Lepisosteus oculatus: one gene and its partners. The protein of the gene in region 1 interacts with the protein of each later gene in a pairwise test. Links are inferred from orthologs where the notes say so. Each region holds a gene or a part of one and is shown in the gene's direction. Other genes may lie near its edges. The genes, in order: txn2, scyl3, ppcdc and rbm45.

Evidence for each region.
Region 2: the proteins of txn2 (region 1) and scyl3 interact in binary tests that used the Homo sapiens proteins (3 or more experiments, as listed by UniProt). The two-hybrid records come from large-scale screens. The link is inferred for Lepisosteus oculatus from reciprocal best matches to the Homo sapiens genes TXN2 and SCYL3.
Region 3: the proteins of txn2 (region 1) and ppcdc interact in binary tests that used the Homo sapiens proteins (3 or more experiments, as listed by UniProt). The two-hybrid records come from large-scale screens. The link is inferred for Lepisosteus oculatus from reciprocal best matches to the Homo sapiens genes TXN2 and PPCDC.
Region 4: the proteins of txn2 (region 1) and rbm45 interact in binary tests that used the Homo sapiens proteins (3 or more experiments, as listed by UniProt). The two-hybrid records come from large-scale screens. The link is inferred for Lepisosteus oculatus from reciprocal best matches to the Homo sapiens genes TXN2 and RBM45.

Annotation. Positions count from the first base shown.
Region 1 is NC_090707.1:39,758,220-39,765,321, reverse strand, and holds the start of txn2 (thioredoxin, mitochondrial), read left to right. Parts: upstream 1-4,102; 5' UTR 4,103-4,265; intron 4,266-6,582; 5' UTR 6,583-6,742; intron 6,743-7,102.
Region 2 is NC_090704.1:8,501,706-8,508,852, forward strand, and holds the start of scyl3 (protein-associating with the carboxyl-terminal domain of ezrin), read left to right. Parts: upstream 1-4,133; 5' UTR 4,134-4,371; intron 4,372-5,108; exon of another isoform or gene 5,109-5,146; 5' UTR 5,147-5,183; coding exon 5,184-5,348; intron 5,349-5,841; coding exon 5,842-6,027; intron 6,028-6,792; coding exon 6,793-6,906; intron 6,907-7,147. Other genes in the region: prg4b (proteoglycan 4b), read right to left, coding at 384-459. UniProt on the Homo sapiens protein: May play a role in regulating cell adhesion/migration complexes in migrating cells.
Region 3 is NC_090700.1:51,226,872-51,234,816, reverse strand, and holds the start of ppcdc (phosphopantothenoylcysteine decarboxylase), read left to right. Parts: upstream 1-4,935; 5' UTR 4,936-4,960; coding exon 4,961-5,110; intron 5,111-7,945. UniProt on the Homo sapiens protein: Catalyzes the decarboxylation of the cysteine moiety of 4-phosphopantothenoylcysteine to form 4'-phosphopantotheine and this reaction forms part of the biosynthesis of coenzyme A.
Region 4 is NC_090707.1:17,836,236-17,843,349, forward strand, and holds the start of rbm45 (RNA-binding protein 45), read left to right. Parts: upstream 1-4,098; 5' UTR 4,099-4,228; coding exon 4,229-4,504; intron 4,505-7,114. UniProt on the Homo sapiens protein: RNA-binding protein with binding specificity for poly(C). May play an important role in neural development.

The DNA of each region.
Region 1 (7,102 bases):
GGGTCGATTAACCAGCGCCGCAGACAAGTGAAATACAAGAAAACATACACACAAGGGAACACATAAGAGAGACAAAGAAATACAAGACACGATAAATACGCTGAAATTGTATCAATATAATTCATTCTAATGTTCAATGAAATCAGCGAAACACATGGGCAGGGCAGCCCAGTGAACTACAGAGACTACATTACCCATAAGCCCTGTGGGCGACACCATTTTGACGTCATCGACTCATACTTTTGTATTTTTTATGAGACCAAAAACTACAAGAAAACGTAACGTACCAGTCGTATTGTCAGGGTACATGCAATAATACATGTACATTTTATGGAAAAAAAGATTCAACAAGGTAAATGCAGATAAGGCCCGTCCATGCTTCAACGTTCTTACAACACAGAAACAGACACATTTCAGAAAGACATTCTGAAATAAAATGTCTTTACATCCGTCTTAAACTGTTCAAACACGGTCTCCTCTCACACCATTCCCTTAATAATTATGTTGCGCAAGTATAATAATGTTTTAAAATACAAACGATATTTTCATCTTCCTTTTCAATGGGATTAAAACGTAACAAATGTATTTCCGATTTCAAGTCTTTCCGATAGCGCTTTGAGACTCAGCTCCGTGTATCTCTGTCGCCACCCAGTGGACATTTCTCGGAAGTGTCACCGCCCGCCGGAATTCGGAAAAGTCCCGGGACTGAAGCTGTGTGACTGGACAAGAGCCTGTCTCCCGCCTCCTGCTGAAATCTCAGCGCCGATTGGACAAAAGCTGCTCACAGTCCGGATCCAGTGGAAGGCCGATCCACTCCGGGTTTTCCTTAGCCGGCAGTCCGGATCCAGTGGAAGGCCGATCCACTCCGGGTTTTCCGTAGCCGGCAGTCCGGATCCAGTGGAAGGCCGATCCACTCCGGGTTTTCCGTAGCCGGCAGTCCGGATCCAGTGGAAGGCCGATCCACTCCGGGTTTTCCGTAGCCGGAAGTCCGGATCCGGTGGAAGGCCGATCCACTCCGGGTTTTCCGTAGCCGGAAGTCCGGATCCGGTGGAAGGCCGATCCACTCCGGGTTTTCCGTAGCCGGAAGTCCGGGTCCGGTGGAAAGGCCGATCCACTCCGGGTTTTCCGTAGCCGGAAGTCCGGGTCCGGTGGAAAGGCTGATCCACTCCGGGTTTTCCGTAGCCGGAAATCCGGATCCAGTGGGAGGCCGATCCACTCCGGGTTTTCCGTAGCCGGAAGTCCGGATCCGGTGGAAGGCCGATCCACTCCGGGTTTTCCGTAGCCGGAAGTCCGGATCCGGTGGAAGGCCGATCCACTCCGGGTTTTCCGTAGCCGGAAGTCCGGGTCCGGTGGAAAGGCCGATCCACTCCGGGTTTTCCGTAGCCGGAAGTCCGGGTCCGGTGGAAAGGCTGATCCACTCCGGGTTTTCCGTAGCCGGAAATCCGGATCCTTTACGATGCACGCAAGACTACGTTACAGATCACTGGAGTACATTATACAGTCAAATAAAGATAAGGTACGCACAGCTTTCATGTTGTGATACTTAGACATGGTTTGGAGACGTTCCCTCGTGTGTATTTTGAATTATTCAAATGCGTGTCGCTTTAATTTGGAAGCGCATCATTTCAGTGCATGAGCTTACCTGTTATATTGGGCGAGATTTCACACGGATAATCAAACAAGAACGAGTTTGCCCTGGAATCCATCCCACTGCCCAACCTGAAAGTCAGAGCATGAGAACGGACGGATTGTATGGCGATTGTGGAGTTGCTCGACCACATCAAGTAGGCGAGAAGTACACTCTGCTACTACGACATACGGTCTAATTATTCAATTTTCGATTATTTCTCATCTTTAGGCTATTTCTACATCTAATAACGAGCAAGTATAATGATTAAGCCAATGATACATTATATTTTAGATTCGGTTCAGCAGTATTGAGCAGTAAAATAACATCAATTTGTCTACAGGAAATGTCAGAATTAGAAGCCTTCTTTACACCATTTTACCGATCTGTTCAGAGTGTTTTAACAACAGAAAAAACAAAATCAAACGTAAGGTTTCTGGGCTGCTTTGAGATAGACAATTATCATCTATATTACTTTTAAATCTATGCACACTGTGTATCTTTACCGGGTCGATTCAATGTACAATTTTGTACTGACGCCTTAACCTTATTATTCATACAAAATCTGTTTGACAATAGTCATGTTTGATTCCACTCACTTTCCCCAAAGAGGTGCTCCAAAATAGTTTGACAAGATATTGTGAGATTGCGAGAGGGATCTGAAGTATTTATTAGTACAAGTATAACTAAATTGTTTTCCTTGTAGTCTAATAAAGGTTGTAAATTCTTCCATAGTTTCTGATGGGCTACTGTTAGTTTCTTAAAAGCATCAATACCTAGTTCCTGAATGATTAAATTAGGGAAACATACACCACCTACTTTGCTTAATTTTGTAAATAATACTGTCGGTATCGGTATTAGATGCTCTAAACCCTGTAGCATTTAGGCCTCCTTCTGCCCGTGTTTGACAAATAGCAACCATGAATAAAGTTTTTTTTTTATTTTACTAAGGTAGAGAACATCAAATCACAAAATCACCTTTTTGAAAGTCTTAATACCAAGATATTTAATCACATCTTTTACATGTATATTACGTACGGAGCAGACACTTTCCAACAGCCACCAGTTCACTTTTCTGATATGTAAAGAAAGACCAGAAACAGAGGAAATGACTTGTAAACACATTTAATTGCTTTGTCCACCTCTGTGTGCTTTCTCAGAGAGAGAGTTGTATCCTCAGCCAATTGGGAACACCTGTAATCTCTTTATCCTGTACTTGAATACCCTGAAACTATTTGTTATAGGGGTGTAAGCAGTGGGAAGAGGAGTGGGCTCGTGTCGATCAGACTTCCAAGGGATCCGGATTAATAGAGCTAAACCTGAACCGGATCAGACTTTCAAGGGATCCGGACTGGTAGAGTAAAACACAGAGCGGATCAGATTTCCATGGGATCCAAATTTATAGCTGGATTAAACCTGGAGCAGTACTTTCTCCCTTGGGATCCGGAAAGGTAGAGTAAATCCCAGAGCGGATCAGACTTCCATGGGATCCAGATTTGAAGAATAAAACCCGTACCAGATCAGACTTCCAAGATACCCGAACTGGAACTGTAAAACCCGGACCGGATCAGACTTCCATGCAATCTGGACTGGTAGAGTAAATCCCGGAGCGGATCAGTCTCCCATGGGATCCAGAATGGTAAAGTATGTCCTGGACCGAATCAGACTTCCAGAAGATCTGGACTTCTAGAGTACAACCTGGAGCTATATAAAAAATAAATTGAACTGAATTGAATTGAATTCTGTAATATTGGTTTTAAAGTCACTATAGATATCAAAGATGACGAGATTGCTTTGTAGAAGATGTAAAAAGCAAACAAAAGATTCAAAAGTGGGTGATTGTAACAATTAAGGAAAAATATAGTTCCTTACGTATTCAAGCACGGGATCCATTTACACTCTACACTGCAGCTCCTGTTCCAGTTTGCTCTTTCTCCATACATACACATTTGTGTACATACACATGTCTACATACACATATTTGTGTACATACAGATACACAAATGTACACATTCAGATACACACTTGTGTATATACTGGGGGTTTATGAAAATTGGTGAAAATCTGCCCAAGCACTTAAGTCAATAAGTAAAGTATTTATTCATGAACCCCAACTTGTAGGTGTTTTTTTCCAGAATTGAACAGAGCAAGTGGTATAATTAGAGGCACAGTTGTTTTCTGGCTCAACTAAAAGAATAATAATTGAGGCACATTTCGTGAAATAAATATTTATTAATGATCACAAGCCACAAATTACACTACACACAACAAAACTTACAACTCACAAGTTCCAGTATGTACAGTATTTACTAAACAAGGTGTTTCAGAGGCCTAACATTCTGGTCACCCAGAAAGCCACAGACTGGTACTAAGCATTAAACTCTTAATACCTACAGAGGCCACATACGAGATAAGCTGCTTTCTAACTGAATACAATGCAACCTGAGGTTAAATCTCTCTCTCTCTGTACCCCAGGTGCCACAAAATAAGTGGGAGCCTATATCCCTATCCATAAAAATGCACCCTAAACGTTTCTAGCTGAGGTTGCCTGGTGCAAGCTTCAAGTCCCAACTCCTCTGGACTCTTCTCTCCACTCCTGCCCTGCTTCCTGTTTCTTCTTCTTCTGTGTGCTAGTAATGTGAGTTTATATTGTTTGTCTGTACTGCTCCTTGACAGTCATTAACCCATTACTTACCTAGGGATACTAAGGTAAACTCTACAATTGTTTGTGCTCAAGAGAGCCCCCAGTACCTCAGCAAAAATCCACTCTGCTTTGAAGCTAGAAGTGTTTGTTCTGCCAAGTGTCACAAAGGTCATCTAAAATCCAAGAAACACTTCTCAGTCACCTAAAGCTGTAAATGTCCCCAATAACTGCTTTCATCATGTGCAGAGGGGTCATTAAAGTGGTGAAAAAAAGTAACAGATTTCAGCTTTTGCCTGAAGCATTTTCATTATTTAGTCTTCCAATTTTAAATTCCCTAATTTAAGAGAAAACTAGTGTCCTCACAGAGCTCAGTGTTTTTCCAACTTGATTGCCAGCTCAGCAGGTGTGATCCTGGTTAGTACCTGGATAGGAGGCCTCCTGGGAAAAACTAACATTGCTGCTGGAAGAGGTGTTAGTGGGGCCAGCAGGGGGCGCTCACCCTGTGGTCTGTGTGGGTCCTAATGGCCCAGTATAGTGATAGAGACACTATGCTGTATAAAGGCGCTGTCCATTGGATGAAAAGATAAATTGAGGTCTTAACTTGAAAAGAGTAGTGTGTAACCCTGGTGTCCAGGCCAAATTTCCCTGTGATCTTTACCAAACATAGCCTCCTAATAATCCCCCTCTATGAATTTGCTTCATCACTCTGTTCTCCTCCCCACTGAGAGCTGGTGTGTGGGGAGCGGACTGGAGCACTCTGGCTGCCGTTGCATCATCCATGTGGGGCTGCACATTGGTGGTGATGGAGGGGAGACCCCATTACCTCTAAAGCGCTTTTCAGGACACTCCACTCAAAGTGCTTTACAGGTAATGGGGTCTCCACATTATATAAGTGTAAGCAATTATTATTATTATTATTATTATTATTATTATTATTATTAAAACAGAAGAATAACAGGTTTTAAAACTAAAATAAACTAATAATAAAAGCAAAAAAAACTTTGCCATGTCCTTCATTAAAAGTTAACCCCAGTAACAGTGAGACAACTAACAGCAAAGGACATTAAAATAAGAAAACAAATGTTAAAATGATATTAAAGAAAAATAGAAAATAACTAAAAGAGTTCCTATATTAAAAAGAAACAAAACAACAATAACAGAACTGTAGTCCATCACACTAAAAGACAAAAACAAATATTAAGTAAATAATAATAAATAATAATAAAATGACTGTTAAAGCAACCAGTAGTTACGGTACTCTTGGGGGGTTATGACCAAGTTGAGTCAATAATTAAAATAATTATTCATAACCCCCAACTTGTAAGTGCTTTTTCCAGAATATAACCCAACAGTTGGTATAATTAGAGGCAAGTGAATTTGTTGTTCTCTGGTACAACTATAGTGAGAGGAATAATAATCCAGGCACACTTGGTTAAACAAATATTTATTAATGATCACAAGACACAAACTACAATACACACAACAAAATATACAACACACAAGTTCCTCTATGTACAGTATTTACAAATGAGGTGTTTCAGGGGCCTAGCATTCTGGTCACCCAGAAGAAATGAACTGTATCACACTACCTTTGTACTGAGCGCTACAGGAGGTCATTCTTGCCATCTGCCATAAGACTGTACAACGCATCCACCTTGCGTCTTGGCAGAGGCAACAGCGACAGTGACCTGTTTCTGGACTAAACGCATCTACACATCTACTGCTACATCTGTTCTCTTTCTTTTTCTTTTTCTTTCTCCCGTTTACAACCACTTTTGTGCAATATATGCCAGGGACCTGTGCAATACATATATATTTATATTTATATCTATGGTTACATCTATATTTATATTCAGATGTGTGATACGATTTTTCTGTGTACTGTTCTGTTCTAGTTTGTTCTTGTGTGTCCGGACTGTGAGTAACTATTGTATTGTATTGTATGTATTGTACTATTATTATATAATTCGTTACACTGTGGCTGTGTTGTGTGTGTTAAGCTGCTGTTGCACTGCAATTTCCCTCACGGGATCAATAAAGTATCTATCTATCACTCTCTTCAAACTGTATCTCACTCCTTTATACTGTATCACTCTCTTCAAACTGTATCTCACTCCTTTATACTGTATCATAAGTCTTCACACTGTACCACATACTGGATCCTGCCCACAAAGTTGTGCAATTCAGCTCTATATTACTATAATGAACTTCATAATACTGCTCTTTGTAACTTTTCACACAATGTATTTTTATAGTTCAGTAATTATTTACAAGGTTAATTATTAATGCTCCTTTTTTGTAATGACAACAGCAGAATGACATCGTGACTTGAACAATTGGTACTGAGATTGCGGCGAGCCCAGTGAATTCTGGGTTATCTGTGACGACAGCGCGTCGGTGTCTCGGTTTTGCCGGAAGTGTGCCTCCAGATTGTATTCCGGGTGGCGCAGAGTGCAGAGAGCAGAGAGACGGTAAGTTGTTGCGGGAAAGTTTAATTGATGTCGGGCATTAATCGATCGGTACTGGAGGTGCAGGGTATGAGGCTGAGTTGCCTTTAAGGCTTAAGCGGAAGGAGCGCGTTTCTCCCAGTGTGGGGCGCAGAAAGTTCAGGCAGCAGCCGGGCAAAGTCACGGAGATTGTCTCTCGTCGCCAGGACTCAGAGCAGAGGGCAAGGGGTTTGAGTGTGAATCTTAATTATAGTCGGTTCCGAGTGCAGCGCAACCAAGTCTGATTAATTTGGCGTGGGCTAAAATTCCTCCACAGCGATGTGAAAGACTGATATTGAATTATAAGAAGAGTTTTGTTGTGGTCATTGCAGTTAAAGGTGGCGC
Region 2 (7,147 bases), on another chromosome or scaffold:
TCACCAAATACAATTATTGTGGTTACTGCTAACAATAGAAAAAAAAAGAAAAGCACAAAAAAGATCAACAGATTAGAACTTTCATCAGAAACCAGAATAAAACATAATACATGTAACCTAAACATTTCACTTCTTACTAGTTAACAACATGCACTGTGTGTGTATAGAAATGTGTGTTTTTTTTTAAACATGTTCCTTGAAGTGAGTTCAATTTCACTACAAATTCCTCTTCCTTCCATTCAAAGTTATATTTCCTTCTTAGTTCACCCTCACTTAACACACCATAGGAGTCTCATAACATCCTAGAACCTTATGCACCCAAAGAAACTCATCAGAAATCATAGTTTTACAGATTACCTCTGAGAACACAACTGGATAGTTACCTATAGCAGCAGAGAGCGGATGATAAAGACAACTAAAGACAATAATTAGAACAGCATATACAGGTGAAGCTGTCATGGTTGCTGTTTACCTAAGGAAGCAAAAAAAAAACAACAGTTAAAAAGTGGCTACTCTACAAAAAAGAAAATCACAAAACAAATGCTAATCATTTATACTATAACTAACACTGTTTCTCAAGTTTTTGAAATACTTGTGTGTTCAATTACCAGTTAAATGATCTTTCTATATCAGATATTGATTACAACTATCAAATGCATAATCAATAACGTATCTGTTATTGCATTCTGACATTTTAAATTGGTATAACATTTTACAAACCTTACCTGCCCTTCCAAATAATTTCTTTTCAGCTCAGCTAAACTAATTTTCCTCTGGTGGTTTTTTATATTCTGTATTGTGAGGGGGCTGGATTTGTCTGACAGGGCTGGTCCTTCTTATTAGCTAATCCTGCGCACAGAGCTTCCCTGCAAATACAGGAAGGCATTCTGGACTGCAACCATTTTATTCCTGGTAGTCTTAAGAAACATTTGGAAATAAACCAAGACATCTTTTACTGAAATACCCCCCACGAGGTCACGAGCCAATTCTTCAGTTCTACTAGTATGCTGGTTTAAATATTTCAGGTGTTATATATCCAAGGAGCTAATTTGGACTATATGTTTAATTATTATGTTACTAACATATTTTATAATAAATAAATCCTTACACTTACATAGTGCTTTTCTGGACACTCCACTCAAAGCACTTCACAGGTAATAGGGACTCCCCTCCAACACTACCAAGATGTATTTCCCACCTAGATGGTGTGGTGGAAGCCGTAGTGCGCCAGTACGCTCCCCAGACACCAGCTGTCAGTGAGGATGAGAACATAGTGATGGAGCCAGTTCATAGACGGGAATTATTAGCAGGCCATGAGTGGTAAAGGCCAAGGCGAAATCTGGCCAGGACACTCAGGTAACATCCCTACTCTTTTCGTGAAGCACCCTGGGATTTGTAATGACCATGGAGAGACAGGACCACAGCTTTATGTCTCATCTGAAGGACAGAGACCTTTTTTGCAGTAAAGTGTGACCATCACTATACTGAGGCATCAGGACCCACACAAACCACAAAGTCCAGCAACCTTAGCTTTCCCAGGAGGTCTCCCATCCAGGTATGAAATGTAGTCCCTAATGTTACAAATGATGGTTTGGTGAGGAAAGCAACAACAACAGTTTTGAATGAGTATACTTGAAATACTATGAAATCTTGTTATTTTTGCAGTTTTTAAAAAGATGAGATGAAGTATGCATACATAGATAAAAGGCACATAGTCAACAACAGAAATTGCACGTAATAATATACAACTTTATTTGCCATTCAACAATCTCATTCACTATACATGAACTGCTAGAAATTCCTTCTGCTTTTGCGGTCCCTCCCATTCATTCATCGTTAATAGAGAAAGACACCGTGTTCCTGGGCTGCCCACGACATGACATAATGGCTTGTATGACAAGCACTGCTTTTAATTCTTTTATTGATAAAAACATGTGGAAGATACTATCGTTAGACTCATTTCTGTGGGTCGGAAATTAATTGCTCAATTTTGGTCAGGCCACTTTTATACTGAGGTAATGTCTCCTGAGAATAACCAAGACCCCACCTTTTTGCACATGTTGAAAGAAATGATATTGAGCATTTGTCAGCATCGCTGGATGTAACATATTAAGAAATGTGTAAGTTTGTTCAACATGTTTTTAAATCTTCATGCAGTAGGTCGGTTGAATCTGCCTGACTCACCCGGTAAACTCCAACCTTCGCAGATGACCAAAGATGACTGCATGTCTGATGATTGATTAGACATCATTAAGGGATATTTTTTCATAGCAAGAACAAAAAACACATACGGTTCATTTTTTACACTGAAAAACTTCAGAAGCATAAATGATACCAGAATGGGCTCCATATAGACTCTAGCAAGAAAAAAAAGAAGTCAGCATCTTCTGATTTAATCCTTTTTAATTTATAACAGTATATTGTTTCTTGTATGTATTTAAGGCATTTCTTCTTGTTTTAAATCTGAGATTTACTGGGTCTGACTTAAACGGGTCCTTCAGCCTGTTGTGTTTAAAATTTAAATGTGAACTGTGGTCAGTGGCAATCGTGAATTAAATTACTAGCATTGACAACAAAATGCATTTTAGTAAGGAGTGGAAGCAGTAGTTGAACACAATACGTACTACAACACAAAGGCAGTATTTAAGTAAACATGTAAGTGGCAGAAATTTGATATTAGTGCTAACATAGAAGAGGCAGACGTGTTATAGGTACGAGTTAAACAAATTTGAATGGCCAGATGATATTTTACCAATTGTTCTTGCAAAGAAACAAGATGGTATTAACAGGATATTTGTAAAACAGAGGCAATATTTCAATGACTGGGAAATTGCTAATGCGGTGGCTACCCACTAAAACTAGTAGTTACAAACATTAGAATTAGAACGGATCTACAGTATATGCCTCTCAATATAAATGCGATCGTGCGGTATTATCAAGGTGGAATTAGAAAGGGTGGTTCTTTAATTTGTCTTCGAACAGCCACAGCAGCCATGAATACAGAGTACGTGACTTCCGTTAATGTGCTTGTTTTATGAAAATGAGCGCAGTCATAAAATACTACTAGCAACAGGTGTTTTACTTACGAAGAGGATCGGTAATTTTGCACTGTAATAATAATAATTGCTTACACTTATATAGCGCTTTTCTGGACACTCCACTCAAAGCGCTTTACAGGTAATGGGGACTCCCCTCCACCACCGCCAATGTGCAGCATCTACCTGGATGATGCGACGGCAGCCATAGTGCGCCAGAACACTCAGCACACACCAGCTCTCAGTGGGGAGGAGAGCAGAGTAATGAAGCCAATTCATAGATGGGGATTATTAGGAGGCCATGATTGGTAAGGGCCAATGGGAAATTTGGCCAGAATGCCGGGGTTACACCCCTCTCTTTTCGAAAAACGCCCTGGGATTTTTAATGACCACAGAGAGTCAGGACCTCGGTTTTACGTCTCATCCGAAGGACGGCGCCTGTTTACAGTATAGTGTCCCCGTCACTATACTGGGGTATTAGGACTCACATGGACCGCAGGGTGAGCGCCCCCCTGCTGGCTCCACTAACACCTCTTCCAGCAGCAAGCTTAGTTTTTCCCAGGAGGTGCCCCATCCAGGTACTGACCAGGCTCACACCTGCTGAGTTCAGTGGGATGCCAGATGTGAGTTGCAGGGTGATATGGCTGCTGGCTGTAAGACAGCAAGACATTAAACTGTATATAATACAATTACAATGAATAAGAGGGATTGTTTGAGACAAGAAATCGTGGTTCAATTACAGCTATGAGCATTTATTAAACACAACATCAAGTATCGGTATTGCATGTCTATCCTGGTTTAACCGTACAGCCAAACCAAGTACCTCTCCAAGCTCGAGTGCCCTTGTGCACAAGCACTACTGTGTAAAATCGGCACCGACCATGTTGGTGAATAAGAGAGGTGTGTGATACTCAGTGCATCGACAGTGTGACGATTTAGAAGAACATTGCTTGAACAGGTCCAATTTAATAATATTTATATCGTTTGGTATAAGTTAAAAACCACGTTTAATTATTTTAGTAACACCGAGTTTAACCCACAAAGCTAAAACCACTCCCTTTCCAGAGTTGGTAGAATCGGTTCGCCTGACAGGAAGAACCGGTGTTTACAGTCGAAACACAGGAAGCTCAGAACTGTAAGACGTGTTTGTTAAGTTTTCGCCACCAAAATGGAATTCATTCACCGATTATGAGGCGTGAAACAGTTCAGATCGGCGGCAGTTTCAATGGCGTGACCATCTGAAGTCAGTAGAAAAGCCTGTTAAAACAACAAGGAGGTCTACAGTGGAGTGGTAGCTGAGCAAGTACTGCTCAGAGAAGTAAATATTTATTCACAGGTAACTTAATTCAGTGGAATATGTGTCATATCGAACAATGAAGAATAAACCACACAGTCCTTCTAGTTTGCTTAAATTAGCAGAACAGATGGATAGACCAGACGGTCGCAATACATTTTTCATTTTGTGTAATTTGTTTCTTAACGGGTGTGCAGTGTATTTCAGAATCCGCGGCCATTGCAAAATACACGTTTCCATCTGTTAGTCACCTAACACGAGGGGTTATTAGTATGCAATTTCCGTCTTTGGATTCCAGACCATGCATTTTGCAATCAACTATAACGCCAAAAGGCTCAAATCTTAGTACAAGGAATGAATCAGATCTTCAGAATTGGCACTACTAATCGAACTACTGTTCGTTGAAGATGCAGAAACTCAGATGATCTCTAACGGATTTATTTCGGGTCGACGATGTTTGGTTGATTTAAGTTTTGCAGTCTGAAACACAATTACCTGTACTTCTGCATTTTGCTGTACTCTCCGCATGCGTCTGTGCCACTATTCTATCGGGACTGCATAAAGCGTTCTGTGATGGTGGTCACCAAACTGATGCGCTGCATATAATGACTGGTCGAGGAGTCACTTCATAGTGAAGTTCTTCATAAGAATTTTGCACCTTAACTCAGTATTTGGTGGAAGGATCTTTGGCAGTCATTTAAGTTTGCACAGTGGTGTGGTGTAGTTTTGCCCGGTCTTCCAGGCTTTCAGATACTTTCATCAGTTGTTCATTCCATCAGAGCATCATTAGTCATTGTGCTGGGTGATTGACTGGCAGAGACCGGGAGAAGGACTGCTGTTTCCCTGGGGTGACCATGGGCTCGGACAGCAGCACACTGAAGAGCTGCACCCTGGAGGAATGTCAGCTGAGCCTCCCATCCGGACTCACCATGTACTCTGCCCTCCTAGAAGATGGGAAGCCAGCCTCAGTCTTCGTCTACAGGCCGGACAGCGAGGATAAAGTTAACAAGGCTGCTAAGGTAAGGAGAAGAAGCAGTGAATTGAAATAGGGTAAAAGTGAAGGACAGCCTTGGTCCCTGGGCCCAACAGTCATCCTGGGTTTAGAGGAATTTTGAAATCCAAGACAATTTGTGTGGTTGCTAAGATGATTTTGTCAAAATAAAATGGATAATTGTATACAGTTGTATAAATAATTAGCGTGGTTTTCAAAAGATGGGCACCACTGGGTTAATCAGAGGTGATTTAGATTAAGAGCATCATATTTAGTGAATTTCCAAGACAGACTTACCTTTAAATCTTTTTGTGTCAATTTTGGTTATGGAATCGGAATAGGTTTAATTATTTTGGCTGGGGAAAAGTCATGAATGGCCCCAATTCATGACCTTTGTGCTGATGTTTGCAAACATTAGGATGAACAGCTACACTCTTGACATGCCATGGAGCGCTCATACGGATGAATGTAAGTGTTTACCTGCTCAACTCATGTGGTCTCTTACCTGGTTCACACGGCAGCACCTGAAGACCCTGCGTCACCCCTGCCTACTGCGTTTCCTGTCGTGCACAGTGCAGGCTGGGGGAATCCATCTGGTAACGGAACACGTGCAGCCACTGGAAGCCATGCTGGAGAGCCTGTCTCCAGAGGAGATCTGTTCCGGACTCTACGACATTCTGCAGGCCCTCGTATTCCTTCACGACAGAGTAAGAGTCGTTCGCCTAGCTGGCCACCAGAGATCTTCAGCACACCGAGTTAGTTTGCGCTGGCCGAAAGCACCTTTTCCCCAAACACTTCACTTCCAGGTTGTCCAAGAGAAAATGCTGCACCTTTTCTGATAACTTATCAATAGCAAAAATACCGTGAATGAAAGTTTTAATGACTGTAATTTATTTAAATATATTAGCAAGTGATAAATTACACTAATGACAATGCATACCACTTGTGCAAGAGTTGTTCCTTGCACAGATTTCATTCAAGTCATTAAACAAAATGATTGAAAAAAAATACTTTTCCCTCATAGAGTAATAGCACATTGTATTACTAATTTGTTTAATGTTTTTATCCAGTGTGACTCACAGAGCTTACAGTTGCTTTTTTTACATATAAACCTTGGTGACCGTGTACACAGCTGGGTTTATGGGAGTGACATGGGGTAAAGTACCTTGCTCAAGGGTACTGAAGCAGTATCCTCACTTGGGATTTGAACCTGCAACCTCCAATGGGGAGCCTTAACCACTACTCCACAGTGCAGTGCTGTACCAATTACAGACACAAGAAAATATATGTAACTGTAGAACCTAGGAACAGTTTTTACACATGCTGACTTAAAAAGTAGTCTGTTTCACAAAACAATCACATGTGACAACATCTCAGTTTTTTCGTCCGTGCTCTGGTAACACACTCCTGCCTGGTGTGGGGATTTCTCCTTTTATCTGCCTTTAACTGAACCTGGCTTGTCTGTACTTCAGGGTAAATCCAGCCATAACAATGTGTGCTCGTCATCAGTCTTTGTGAGTGACGACGGTCACTGGAAACTTGGGGGGATGGAGACCGTCTGCAAGTTCTCTGAAGCCTCCCCTGAGGTGAGAAATGTTTAGACTGTCCTGGTGGATTAAATATGTCTGTATGTACCTTTGCAGCTGCATCAGCTTAACCCCTTAACATCTGTTGGGCCACAGGTACATTCATTTTTGGTAACGATTGTGAATTGTGGCCTTGGGATGAAATTAAGTGTGATTGGCATCCAATCACTTTCCACCAAATGTAGGGCCTATCAAGATTCCAAAAGAACTATTACTTCATTTTTTAGTTGTTTAATATTTA
Region 3 (7,945 bases), on another chromosome or scaffold:
AAACATTCTGGGACAATGTTCCAGTAAAAGACTAGGAGTATAGAAGGCATCGGTCTAAGAGAACTGCTAGAACACAATTTAGAGTGCTTTGTGATGGAAAAACTATATAAATGCATTCCTTATCATAAAATATTTACAAAATCTGAAAAACTCCTACAGTACATCCTACAAATCCTCCAGCAGAGGATAACAATCACTAGCACTCTATATTATACTAGCAAAGCTCTTTAACTCCTATTACAGCTCAAATGTGCACAGTACTACAAAAATATAAAATGCTAGAAGTAATTTATGGCAGCATTCAGATCACATGAAGAACAAATACAGAATGCAAGTAACAAAATTACTTGAAAGCTGGGACATGTAATAACTCTGCTACCTTGAACTGAGTTAAAAATTCAGTTAGATATCTTTAGACACATATCTACAGTAGGAGCAGAGTATCTACACAGTAGTCATACCAATCCATGGGAACAAAGTCACCCAGGTCACCAGCAGGACGCATATAGCTTGAAGAAATGAAGTTTGCTAAATATAGTGCCTTCTTAAAGGAAGGTTTGTCAGGAATTCTCTAATGCCTCTCTGTGTTAAGGGCAAACAGTTATACTAATTTTTTCTTAGAATAATATTGATGTCATCAGATATATATATTCCATGTGTACACTTTTGTCAAAACACGTTCTGCTACTCAGACGATACATTGCTATTTTTTCATAATCCACTGCTCCATTTTCAGCTCTCTTCTGGAGGACAACACTTAAAAAACTGTTAGGATGTGGATTTGAAATATTTTGCAATAAACCGTTTATACAAAAACATTCTACAACATTAGATATTTACACAAACACCAAAGTAGGTCAAAGATCTTCTTAAGGCAGTTATGTTTATTTGCAACATTAAAAGCTGGCAGGTTTCTACAAGCAATCACATATATGCAAAGGGTGCTATTCAAAATATTTCAGAGAACACTTAGGGCTATGTTTAACAGTCACAGAGATTCAGGCTTCCTTGGATTTCATATCTCAGTTTAAGCAATTCTCTCATCTTTCTCCGGGTACTTACATATTTTACAAGCACACTTTGAGACTTTCACATGACCAAGGCTTGTTTATGGCTCAATCATCAGCAACTGGGCTACATCCCAGATACGTGTTTCACAAATGGGTCTCAGCAAACTCACATTTAAATACATTTGTTGGATAACGGAAACTTAAATCAATGTCTTAACTTTGAAGTTGGAGTTAATAGTGTATACTTCCATGTCCAACAATGTTAGGCTTTATTATATAGATAAATTCAGCAGCAAGGGAGCCCTCTCTGAGCTCACAATTCCATGCGCTTCCATTCCTGTCTGATACAACCATAAGCAATTACCTATATTGTTGAAGAACAACAATGCTACTGGGGTCTTCCCCATTACTGATCACAACTGTGAGAGAGCTAAGGCAGGTTATTTTCATTAAGATCTTTGTACAAACCACAGAAATAAAGTTGGCTATAGTTTACTGCAGATTTTATACCCTTGTCAAATGATAAGACTAAAGTAAATTTTGAAGGCTGCACAATAAATCTTAACATGTTGTTTTTTCACTTTTTTAGTCCAATGTATTGCGTTTTTCACTTACATACACTACAACTGAACTACTGCTTTTAAACATAATCCAAGTGACTGAAAGTTTCTGTAAATGTACAAGGACATTTGTACACAGCAGAAACTTGTTTTCAAATGCTGTGCATGTACTAATCTCACATATTGGCTGTTGTCTATCACCCAGGTGAGTGATACACTTAAGTGGTGGATGAAGTGGATCCTTTAATATACTGTATGTAAAATGGTTTTGGATCCTTTGAAATGTAATGTGCTGTATCAATTAAATTACCCTTACTGAAATTTATATGGATCTATGATACATTGAGTGTACAAACGTTCTGTGTTTTAAAATCTGGATATCTTGCTCATTGCTCAAGGTCAACTGGAGTCTACTGTCATAACTTTAACAAAAAAGATGAGGTTAACAGCACAGCTATAAAACTGTAATAGTATTATTTCTAACATATCACAATTCCAAGAAAAAATAAATGTTTTGTCAAATATTGCACCAACCCACAGAAGACATGTTTTCACTATGGTAACTGGATTTACAGTACTGTCAGGAATGGAGGTTACAGTATACAAAATACAAGATAAAAGCTTTTCATATACTGGTGACCTCTGTTCTGGCAAACACTGTTGCAAAATATGGAACTGCTATCTGCTAACGTTGTCTGTTTGTAGTTGCTGAACAGTATGTATAGTCAGCATGAATTAATTCTGCATATTTTACTTCCTTTTTCCTGAATATAGATAAAAGCTCCACGTAACACTACAGCAACACCCTTCACTACAGCATTATATTATATCTGATAACACGCCTTGAATGTAGGATGTCATTACGTTCTTACAATGTAATTTTTAATATTATATCATACGACTTTGACATTGTGCTAGATTAAGCAATGCATTGTTTTGACACGTAATGCAACTGAGATCTTAATTAAGCATATACATATTTCAAAAACAACACATAAATGATTAGAAAAAATAGACTAGAGTTCAGGGCAATATACTGAAATCAGCTGTCTTTAAGCAGGAGATAAGAATCGTCCGTACCTATATGTTTTTTTTTAAATCCTATGTTGTCATCAAGCCATTTAGAAGAATCTACTGTAAATCGGAGTGTTGAATCACTCGTCTTGTTCGAAATGAGTCGGCCAACAGAGGTTATCTTCTTGCACTATTACACACATCAATTCCTTACTATGATGCTTGACACATTATAGTATACAGTACATCCAACGGTGGAAAAGACAGACGAAATGCCATAAAATGCATGAATGTAACTGACGTTTATTTACGCTGTAAATGAACACGTTTCTCTGTAATTCACCAGCGACTCAAGTGTGTCGGAATGACCTGAAGAACGAGGGCCTTGATTTACTTAGGCTTCCATTGGATGCGTAAAATAATCGCCTTACCTTCTTCTCTGTCCAAACAAGAGTACACAATGCAGTGTTTCTTACTGCATTCTATATTTTTTTCGGATGAAATACGGAAACTCCAACTTATACTGAATAATGTCGGATTTGAATCAATTTGGGGAAACCTTATAGATTTTTTTTTATTGTATTTTTCCTGAGACCGTGGGTGTAAAAATCAAAACCGCTGTCCAGTCGTCCTATCCCGTTCCCCGTCTCCACTGTCACTGCTGCAACGGCCAACAGACAAGCGTGCTCAGTCCTCGCGAGAACTTCCCACTCCGACATCCGTGCAATCGCTCTCCACGGTACTGAAGTGATTGGCGAGATACCGTGTGATGGAAACCTAGGTCACCTTAAGTCATCGAGCTACGCATTTTATCATAATTTAGACGGAATTAACAAAAAAAAAGAATTGGAATTGAATTAAAAATAACACTATACAAGAGTCACGTTTATAGCCTCTTCCCTCTTCTTGGTGTACGATACCTTATGAGTCTAGGGGAATTGCGGGATCACTGTTTTGGTGGGAGGTGCTGTGGAAAGTGTGTTTATGATGAGGGAGATGGGAAGTGTTTTCTGTAAGAATGGATGATTACGGCTTCAGCAACATACGTTATAATAATATTTCGTTGTCCATAGACGACATTTATGTTTCATGTCAGTTTGTTATACCGTTGCATCTTTGTGTTTATTGACTGTACCATGATTTTGTTTCCTCCAGATTATCTTTTTGACTGAAACGCATCAATTCCATGACATAATATACGACACCATAACAATTAGGAAATTCTTATAAAATATACTATTCACGTTGGCTTACCCATGTTTCTCTAGCATTTTCTTACACATACAGAAGTTGAAATGTAAAACATCCAATTCAGGGTCATCAAATGGGCTACGTTATTGGGTTCAAGTAATGTTCACTGCACATTTAATATGGCTGTGACGTGTTATGGTTATGGTACACCTATGAACCTTTTTATAAGATATTTGAAATCACATGTTTCAAAATCTCTTCCAAACGGTTTTCTACCACATACATTGTATATTATTTTAAATTATGCTGTATTTTTTTATTAAAATAAGTAACTATATTATCTCATTACGTTTTGGGGACATTTAAATTAGTACAACGTAAGCTTCTGTTACCACTTTCACTATGAGCGTAGATTTTTTTTTACATAAAACGTTTTCAGTAGTTTTATTCTGTAACTGAATGCATGTCTTTCTCTTTGTAGAATCAGTTCTTATCAAGGAACCTTAAGTGTCCCTTAAGTGCAGACCGAGGCTGTAAATGTTATGGATCGTAGTGTTTCAAATATGCCGATTTATGTTTGAAAACAAATCAAGAAATAATGCTTTTTTCTTTAAATCCGTAAACTGAGAGAACACTTACGGTTTATTCCTAATGAATTTGTCCTGTACTTCAGGACAGCATATTTTTAATTTCATATACTGAGGAGAATTTATATTTCCAAAAATGATCAGGTATACCGAATGCATACACATTTTTAATCAAAGTCCATGTTATCTACGCTAATCCCGAAGGTGTTAGGAGAATTACTAACACATGTACAACTTTGTTAGTGCAGAGGGGAAAAATGCAATAAAGTGCATCTACTACGTTTTCCACACAAGCGTGGAAACCTCCTCCACAACGTCACCCATTCTTTCGGTTCTCAACTTCCGTCAAGTCTCGCGTATACCAATATGTACAGGGGGGTTCTTATCTAACTATTAAGGTTTATTTCCAGATTTGACTAAATCTGTGTAAATAAATTATTTAAACTTGAAATTCAAATATTAAATGGTAATATTTTGATTTCATAAAACATCTCCAAAAGTCAAAAATAAATATCGTTCAATGTCCATCATTGCTCCTCGTTATTGGTTTCTTCGCCGTCATTTTCCGGTTTACACCGGCAGTGTTGAGGAAACAGGCATGCATCGGCCAGCTGGAAGCGTACTTTGTACAGAGATAGATTCAAAAACTGACACCGTTTCTAATTTTCGTGTCTTGATTGGGGTAACTGGTAGCGTAGCAGCCATAAAATTACCGTTGCTGGTCAGAAAACTTCTAGAATTACCTAGGGTAAGTAATAGGTGTGATGCGTGTTGTAATCGCACTTTTCTGGGGACTTGTGTGGTTGTCTTTTTCCTAGAAAATAAAGTACTTTTTGAAACCATATAGCCTCCTTCATTTTTTCGGTTTATGAATACTGTTTTTGTTGAGGTATTGAACATGCTAAATGCTATTGCTAAATTTGGAATGTAAAGTTGTCTTTAAAATATCTGTGAAACACTCTTCAGACACTATTATAGTTAAATGTAAAAGTTCACCACTCCCGAAATAAAACTAAAATAATATCAGATTTCCAAGAAAGACCCGGATATGTAGGTTACTGAATAACGATTAATTGTATTAATTTTTTAAATATCATTATAAATAAATCGTCACTTTTCCAACCTATTGCATTTGTGATCTTATTCACTTCTACACTTTTATTTTGCTCTGTCCTGATTGTCAATGCTGAACTTAGGTCTTATTGAATACTTGTTCAGATAATGGAAAGCAAGATTTTATATCAGTTAGAAAATAGTCCCAACTCCAGTTTAGTCTGGTCTCTGTAAGATTTTAAGATGTTTATCATTAAATGAGACTTAGAAAACCTGCTGGGCTTTGGCTCCAGATGACCGGAACTGGGACCTTCTATTTTAGAAGATGATACCACCATGTTTGCCTTTTTGCAAAAAAACTTAACAAACCCAACACTGAGGCAATCCCAAAAATGACTTATTAAGGTTTATTTTTAGGGAGCTGATATGTCTCTCATATGCCAAGATGTTAAAATGTTAAAAACTTATATTGGTAATATTCCTCTAAGTGGACTCAATTTTTGGGAGTGGGTTTTTAGGTTTGCAGTATTACCTGAATAACCCCTTTCTTTAAACCTTACATATCCTCATAGTGTTTTGAAATCGACCGGTCTAAATACATGCTAAACAAAAAGAAAATGTGATTGTCAGCATGAATTTAAATTATCTTATTTCATTCAGTAAAAACTGAGGTTTACAAGTTTATTTCCATAATACAGTGATGACTTGGTATCCATCATAGGTAAATATGGCTAGTTTCTAGGGAAGAATATACAGTTAACATGGAATATGAAAAGTTATATTTTTATGAAAATGTCAAATGTCTTTACAGAATCTTTACAAATGTTATGTTTTTGTTTGTTCAGGTGCACAGCCTCCTTGTGTGGTCATCTGGAGTCTGTATTTTGAATTAATTTTAGGGGATTGGGTTCTCTTCTAGCATTTAAGTTGTTCATAATTCAGCAATTTTACATTATTCAGCAATTTTACGTTACAGTAATTTTATGTCTTGAAATGGATACAAAACTAGAGAGATTGAAGCCTTATGTAAAATATGGATAAACTATGTTCAGACAAGCATTTTTCATTGATTTTAATCTAGTAATAAAACACATTTGTCAACCTGCTTTGGTTGTATTTGTGTTTGAAATCCACACCTGTGAGTTGCAAATTAGTCTGACTATGGTCTGTTGTAGGGTAAACTAAAATGTATTTCCATATATGAAAAGTGAAACATGAAAGTTGTATAGTGTGAAAATTTGTCCTCTTTAAATTAGAGAACCAATACAAAAATAGCCTTTATGTAAGATAACTCTTGGAGATAAACACCTGTAACTACCCCAGGCTTACCCCAGGCTTCTCTCCCCGTCTGTGTGTCTGTGTCTCATGGAGACCAAGCTGGGGTATGCGAAAAGAGGAATTCATAATGCAAGAAATTGTATAGGACAAGTAAAGTGATGTTTAAAATGGTGAAGGTATCCCTGTGACATTAGTTGAATCAGAGAAAAGTATGTTAGAGCTAATAGTATTGCCATAAAGGAAAAAAAACTCTTCTTAGTGGAGTGTATTCATTTCTGCTTTTGGAGGGTTGTAAAAGTCAATGGAAACTCAGTATTGTAGAGATTCCAAAAGTCTTGGATCAGTTCTGAGGTCTTTGTAATAGGCATACTTCAAAACTTAAATTTCAAAAGACTTCACAGCCAATATCTTGTTTAATTTCTTTTCCTTTCAGCATGGAATAAACCTTTACCCGTTCCTTTGCAGCCTAGGCATGCTGACGTTGCTACCTACTCAAACTTCAAAACTATGCTGGAGAGCCAAGCAGAGAGGAAATATGTCTCCTCGAACTTTAACATTAAAGCATATATATTGCTGAGTCCCTTTTACACATCAGTTGCACCAGTGGCTAACCTTTTATGTTACCCAGTAAAGAATGGTATTTTGTGTCAGGAAGAAATGATACATTAGGATGCCAGAATGCCCAGCTGCTTAAAATGTCAAATAGTTCTTAGAGTTATACCCTGGTCAGCTTAAATAGTGATGTTTACTGCAACTCTTACATAATTGTTCACAAAATATGGACATGCTGCTTCAAATACAAATATTGGCTTATCTTAAAAAGTCTGATTCAATATTCATTATTTTATATTCCATAACTTTGGATACTGTAGAAAAGTGCAATGTTGACATGGTGTTTGATCTCTATTTTGTCTAGGAACATTTTTATTAAAGGCTATTTACAGCTAAATGTAGGGATAAAGGTGTGACACTTTGTTTCACGAATTCTCAAACTTCTCAAAATAAATGTAAAAAATCAATTTTTATAGAACCTGTGATAGAAATCATTCATGTTTTTGCTGGGGTTTTTGCTTTATTATGTTATTAAAACTAAATGTATTTTAGGAATATGTGCACTTTATTATGCATGAAGGATTTCAGTAATCCAGTATATGGCTTCCTTGGCAAGTAGCATTTGCAAGACCGATGTTAAGACACTTAAGAAAGCTGAAATAATTAGCCAATGTTATCTGATGTGATAAAGGCTCTCTCA
Region 4 (7,114 bases), about 22 Mb from region 1:
ATGACAAGAAGAGAGCCTTTAGGGGGGGAGATAAGGAAGAGGTCAAGCGTGTACAGAGGGAGCTAAAGCAGAAGTTAAGAGAGAGCAAGGACGCCTACAGGAGGAAGGTAGAGGACAAGCTGCAAAGGAATAGGGTGAGAGATGTATGGAGCAGCATGAGAGAGATCACTGGCTTCAAACAGGCTGGGGTTGCAACAGAAGGGAACCTGGAGATGGCCAACGAGTTGAACCAGTTCTTTAACAGGTTTGATTCTGGGTCCTCTGTGGCGCAACACCCATCCCCCCACAGCCACACGCTCCCTAACCCTTCACAGCTGCAACTGCCCAACACCTCCTCCATCCCCCCACAAACATGGCCGCCTACAGCTACAAGCCCCGACGGCTGCTCACCCACCCATCCCCCACAGCTGCCACTCTCCAACACCTCCGCCATTAACACCTCCAGCACTGAAAGCACTATGAGCATCATCCCCCGGGCCAGGCTGACCATCACAGCTGACCAGGTGAAGAAGGAGCTGAAGAGGCTGCACGAGGGTAAGGCCACAGGACCAGATAACATCTGTCCCAGAGTTCTGAGGGCCTGTGCTGATCAGCTGAGCGGAGTGCTCCAGCGACTGTTCAACCTGAGCCTGCGCTTGGAGAGAGTCCCGGTGCTCTGGAAGACATCATGCCTGGTCCCGGTACCAAAGAAAGGGCGCCCCTCTGCCCTCAACGACTACAGACCAGTTGCACTGACTTCTCACATCATGAAGACACTGGAGAGGCTGGTCTTATCCCACCTGAGACCCCTGGTCAGCTCATCACTGGACACCCTACAGTTTGCCTACCAGCCCAGTGTTGGTGTGGAGGATGCGATCATCTACATGCTGCAAAGGGCCTACTCACACCTGGACAGGGCTGGCAACACTGTAAGGATCATGTTTTTCGACTTCTCCAGTGCCTTCAATACCATCCAGCCCTTACTTCTAAGGAGGAAGCTGGAGGAGATGCAAGTCGATGCCTCCATGACCTCGTGGATCACTGACTACCTGACGGGCAGACCACAGTCTGTGAGACTTCAGAACTGTGTGTCTGAACTGGTAGTGAGTAACACAGGGGCACCTCAAGGGACAGTTCTTTCTCCATTCCTCTTCACCCTCTATACTTCGGACTTTAAGTACAACTCAGAGTCATGCCACCTGCAAAAGTTCTCAGATGACTCTGCAATTGTGGGATGTATCAAGGGTGAGCAGGAGGAGGAGTACAGAGGACTGGTCAGCAGCTTTGTGGAGTGGTGTGGGGTGAACCACTTGGAACTGAATGTTACAAAGACAAAGGAACTGGTGGTAGATTTCAGGAGGAAAAAGGTCAAACCTACTCCTGTCTACATCCATGGGAGTGGCGTGGAGATGGTGGACTCGTACAAGTACCTGGGAGTGCACATCGACGATAGACTGGAATGGTCTAAGAACATCGAGGCCATCTATAAGAACGGACAGAGCCGACTTTACTTCTTGAGGAGGCTCAGGTCCTTCAATGTGTGTAGTAAGATGCTACACATGTTTTATCAGTCGGTGGTAGCGAGTGCCATTTTCTACGCAGTGGTGTGCTGGGGCTCTGGGATTAGAGCAGTAGATTCCAAAAGGCTGAACAAGCTCATCAGGAGAGCAAGCTCTGTCATTGGGTCTGACCTGGACCCCTTGGAGGTAGTGGCTGAGAGGAGAATGATGTCCAAACTAGAGGCCATCATGGACAACTTCTCCCATCCCCTCTATGACAGGCTTGCAGGAATGAAGAGCACGTTCAGCAATAGTCTGATTCATCCACGGTGCGACAGGGAGCGCTACAGGAAGTCATTCTTGCCGTCTGCCATAAGACTGTACAACGCATCCACCTTGCGTCTTGGCAGAGGCAACAGCGACAGTGACCTGTTTCTGGACTAAACGCATATACACATCTACTGCTACATCTGTTCTCTTTCTTTTTCTTTTTCTTTTTCCCGTTTACAACCACTTTTGTGCAATATATGCCAGGGACCTGTGCAATACATTTATATTTATATCTATGGTTACATCTATATTTATATTCATACGTGTGATACGATTTTCTGTGTACTGTTCTGTTCTAGTTTGTTCTTGTGTGTCCGGACTGTGAGTAACTCTTGTATTGTATTGTATGTATTGTACTATTATTATATAATTCGTTACACTGTGGCTGTGTTGTGTGTGTTAAGCTGCTGTTGCACTGCAATTTCCCTCACGGGATCAATAAAGTATCTATCTATCTATCTATCTATCTATCTATCTATCTATCTATCTATCTATCTATCTATCTATCTATCTATCTATCTATCTATCTATCCATTTTCTAACTGCTTCTCAGGGTTTTGGGGGAGCTGGAACTTGTCCCAGCAGGCAACAGGCACAAGGCGGGGTACACCCTGGACAAGACCATCACAGGCCTCACACAGACACAAACATACACCCTCACACCAGGGCCAGTTTTCCCAGAAGCCAATTAACCTACCAGTATGTTTTTAAACTGGGGGAGGAAACTCAGCTGGAGAAAACTCACGTTAACACGGGATTAACATACAAACTTCACACAGAAAGCACCACAAGTCGGGAATTGAATCCAAGGCCCCAGCGAGGCAAAGGTTAGCAACACTAACCACTGTGCCCGCCACGCTGTCCTTCAGCAAAATGTGTTTTTAAAAAATAGAACCACACTGGTGTACCATTTATAATATAGAATGGGATGGGATGAGTGCTGTCGATTCATGGCAACCCTATGGACAGTTACCCCATCACTATCCACAGAGTTTTCATGGCAAGAGACAGATGTAGATTGCCAGGCCTTTCTTCCACATGGATAGTGCTAGTGTTGTTGCCTTTGTCATGGAAACATAATCCTCCACCGCCAACACCGCCCCATACTGCTGCCCAGTATGGGTTAATAAAGAACCTTGTACCCGACGTAGGACACAAACCCACTACCCTGAGATTATGAGTCTCATGCTCTACCAACAGAGCTAGTCGGGGCTATAATATAAAATATTTATATAGAAACTGAAATTGATGTTTTTAATATAGACAATTCTGCAGAATAAAACAGGAAATTAAAAAAATAGGAAAACATTACCTGTCCAAAGACAAGCCACCTATTCTGCAGGTGATTATATTGATTAAAATGACTACAAATAACTAACTTTTTCATGATTATTTTTTTTTTAAATGGCAATTTTACCAACACATACTAAAACTGAATTAAGATCACTTTATTGGCTACAGTATATACAATTTCTTGATTTAGGAATGTGTCTTTTCGCATACCCCAGCTTGCTCTGAGAGACACACAGACAGGGAGAGAAGCTTGGGGTCAGAGCGCAGGGTCAGCCATTTATACGTTGCCCCTGGAGCAGTTGGGGATCAGGGCCTTGCTCAGGAGCCCACCAGAGTAGGATTCCTCTGCCGGCAGCAGGATACGAACCAGCAACCTTCCAGCCACAGGCGCAGATCCTTAGCCACAGAGCCTTGTGTTTAATGAATATATACATGTATATTATTATACTAATATATTACATGTATATTATAGGCTGTTCTTCATGGTAGAGAATGACTGACTTTTGTGAATTCAGAGGTGACTGGTCAGATCAAAGTGGAACCCTCACTTTGGCAGGTTGAGCTGGTGTTGTCTCAGGACAGAGATATATATTTAGATGTTGTCTGCGGAATCCAGCCAGTGTGCATTCTCTTTGTCACTCTTGCTTTGCTTCCTCCCTGTGGTCTCAGTGCTGGGCTCATCCCCGCATTTTTTCCTCCACTTCCTCAGAGTCCTACCACACCCCAAGTCAGTGTTGCATTTCTTTTCTTTGCTTTTATCATATTTTTGAAACACTTCTTCAGAAGCAATTGTCTTGGAAATGCCCTGGGGTGAAGAGAACCTGTTCTGGGGGGCCTGGAGACCGACAAGAGGAGGACATCACGAGCAGAAGGCCTGTAGAGAAGTAGAGAAGGGTTCACGGTGGTGCTTTCCACTTGATGCATTCCGGATCCATGCCAACAGATGGCGCTATAGAATTTCCGTGGCATTAAAAGAGGAGGTGCTGCGCTCTTGTGGCTGTAAAGGGTTAGCGGCGGCGTGAGGTCTGATTTTTTTTGTTATCCGAGTGATTCTAGGTTTTGGTCTGACAAACGGCAAACCGTAAGAGTGCACATTTCCAAACCAGCCGCGGCCTAAGGTTAAGAAGATGGAAGATTATAGTTTTAGGCCGTCCGTTGACAGTCTCGACGACCCTCCAAACAGCCGCTTGTTTTTAGTGACGAGCAAATCCACTTCTGAAGAGGTGATCCGTGAGCACTTTTCGGTTTTCGGAGAAATTCAAGATATCTGGGTGGTGAAAGACAAGCAAACAAAAGAGTCAAAAGGGGTATCCTTCGTTAAGTTCGCCAAATCGTCGCAAGCATGTCGGGCTATGGAAGAAATGCACGGGAAATGTCTTGCAGAAGGAACCAAACCCATTAAGGTTTGTATATATCAAGTTCCTGGCGTTTTGCATTTGCTGTCTTGTTGTTCAGCACACGTAGCGTCGTTGACAAAATGCGGATGGAATTTCGAGGAATCATGGCGAATGTGACGCTTGCTCTTTCGCCAAACCGTCGAATTGGTTTTATTTATAGTGTATTTCGTATCCCACTAACTTGTATACGTAAACAGTGAAATGCGTGAAGCTAAACTCATAGGCGCTTCGTTAAGCTGCGCTCGCGTTTTCTGGGCCTCGCTCCTCATTTTGCATATAGCCGGAGTTATTGTATATCGTTCAAATACCACTCAAGGCTATCTCTTAGCAAAGTAAGATGAAAGGTTCGTGTAACTGCACCTTTAAACGATTTTATGTCTGCAATTCATTTTGCGTCCTAATCCATTTTCAGAATGGATATTGTGTTTCCCTGATTTCCTGAAATTTGCATGCACTTCTTGCCACTTATGCCTGTTGACGTTTGAGGTTTTCTTTTTAGCTGAGGGGCTGTTATTTGAATTTTAATTTGAAATGTGGCATCCCTTTACATGTCGAAAATGTATTATTTGAACCTACGTTCTTCTGAATCGGTTCTTCTGAACGTATCCCGAAGAAAAGATGTCTTTGTAAATGCAGCCGAACTGGATTACAGCCGTGCTTTGCTCCTTCGCCATCAAAACGTCCAAAATACTGTAACTGTAGTTCTTGCAGATTTATTTTCTCGCACGCGTTGAGCACAAGTTCCTCAGATAGCACATAATTTATAGCTTTCCTAGGTGTTGTAAAAATGATTAAAAAAATGACGGTATTTATAAAAGCTCAATTGAATCTAGATGTAAATATTATACGTATATATAGATTTAAATATGCATTAATATCTTTGTATAGGTGGGGTAGGTTAGTCCCAAACTGATAGTGAAGTTTTTTTTAATCGGATTTAGGGATTTTAAGACGCACACACGCGGTTGTTTTAATTTTGTCCTACTTGATGTGAAGTGACCAGCCAGACTGCTCTGGTATGATGTCACCTGATGGACCAATGACTGGTGTTTGTTATAGAAAGGCCAGGGTGGGAGATGTATGTTATTTTTCCCCGAACAGATAACCATCTCATGTGTGGAAGGACATGTAACAATAGCATTTCAAAATGTTTTCACCAAAAGCTAAACAAATGGGCTTGCATGCTTGGGGTTCTACTGTAAGGTAGCATGCATTAATTTCATTTTTAGTTCTAAGGTATTTTTTTAAATGTAAAAACAAAGAAACAACATTGTCCTGCCTGGCTATTGATTTATATAATACCATTTTTAATAGTGTTTTTCTTAACAATCCTCTCAAAGTGCTTTACAGGTAATGGGGACTCCCCTCCATCACCACCATTGTGTAGCCCCTGGATGATGTGACGGCAGCCATAGTGCGCCAGTACGCTCACCACACATCTGCTATCAGTGGGGTGGAGAACAGAGTAGGAAGGAGAAGCCAATTCATAGATGGGATCATTAGGAGGCCATGATTGATAAAGGCAGGGGGAACTTTGGCCAGTACACTGGATTTAACAGCCCTACACCCCTTGTTGAATGTGTTTGTGTGCAAATGAAAGAAAAGTAAATGGGATCATAACTCAACCATTATGTTGTAGCCTGTTTGGCAAATACCACAGCGTGTTTTATTCATGTTGGTAACCGTTTTACGTTACGTAAAGCGGTAACATGTTCCAGATATTGTTCATTGTGGTTTAATGGAAAACCCTTGTTTCAGCTACATGATCTGTAATGGCTGTAAAGTCATTGAAGAATGTTAACGTGTATTCAACATAATTTTCAAACCGGTGTCTGTAAGTTACTCCTGTGTCCCCTGTTTTAGACTGTCATCTCATCCAGGGTGTACACTTGTCTTGAGCAAGGTGCCGGCTGGGTTAGGCCCTTCCTTAGGATGAGGCAGTTATGGATAATGGCTGCACTGAAAATGGATTTTAACTGTAAAGCGCATTAGCATACAATGCCATTATGTTTAGGGCATTTTTTAGGGTTTAGGGATGCTGCATTCAGACCATTGAGATTTCCTCCGGCATCATTATTTGGAAGAATCTCCAGCCACCACCCGTAGGAAGGAAAAGGATTTTTAATATTTTGAAGCATTGTGTGAATGTGGATGAACATCTGTGTTCAATTAACATAAGGCTGTACCAGTCAGATGTGGTTATGATGGCGTTACTGTGTCATATTGGGCAGCAATATAAAACAATGTACTTATTTACTCATCGGTGTTCTTTTTATGGCTGTATCACAGCTGTGGCATACACCTTTGCACTGCTTGTAGCACAGATTCATTTACAGAGGGTGCCAGCAAACACCTGATTTTCTTTAGGTATTGGGGGGGAAAAAAGTGTTGATTCCACAAGTCAATCCTCTGTTCCAAATCATCCTTTCCACGGTATCCTACTAAGTGCTTTGGAAGAAGAAAATGATGGAGCCCTGGCTTCAACTCCAGCCCTTGCGGTAAATGGTAAAATGTGACCTTCAAGCTCCGGATCACAGTGCAGCATGAAAGTTTGAGCCTTTGAAGTGCTCATTTACATCATTTTTTTATATTGCCACTCGAGCTGCTTTTTTTTCT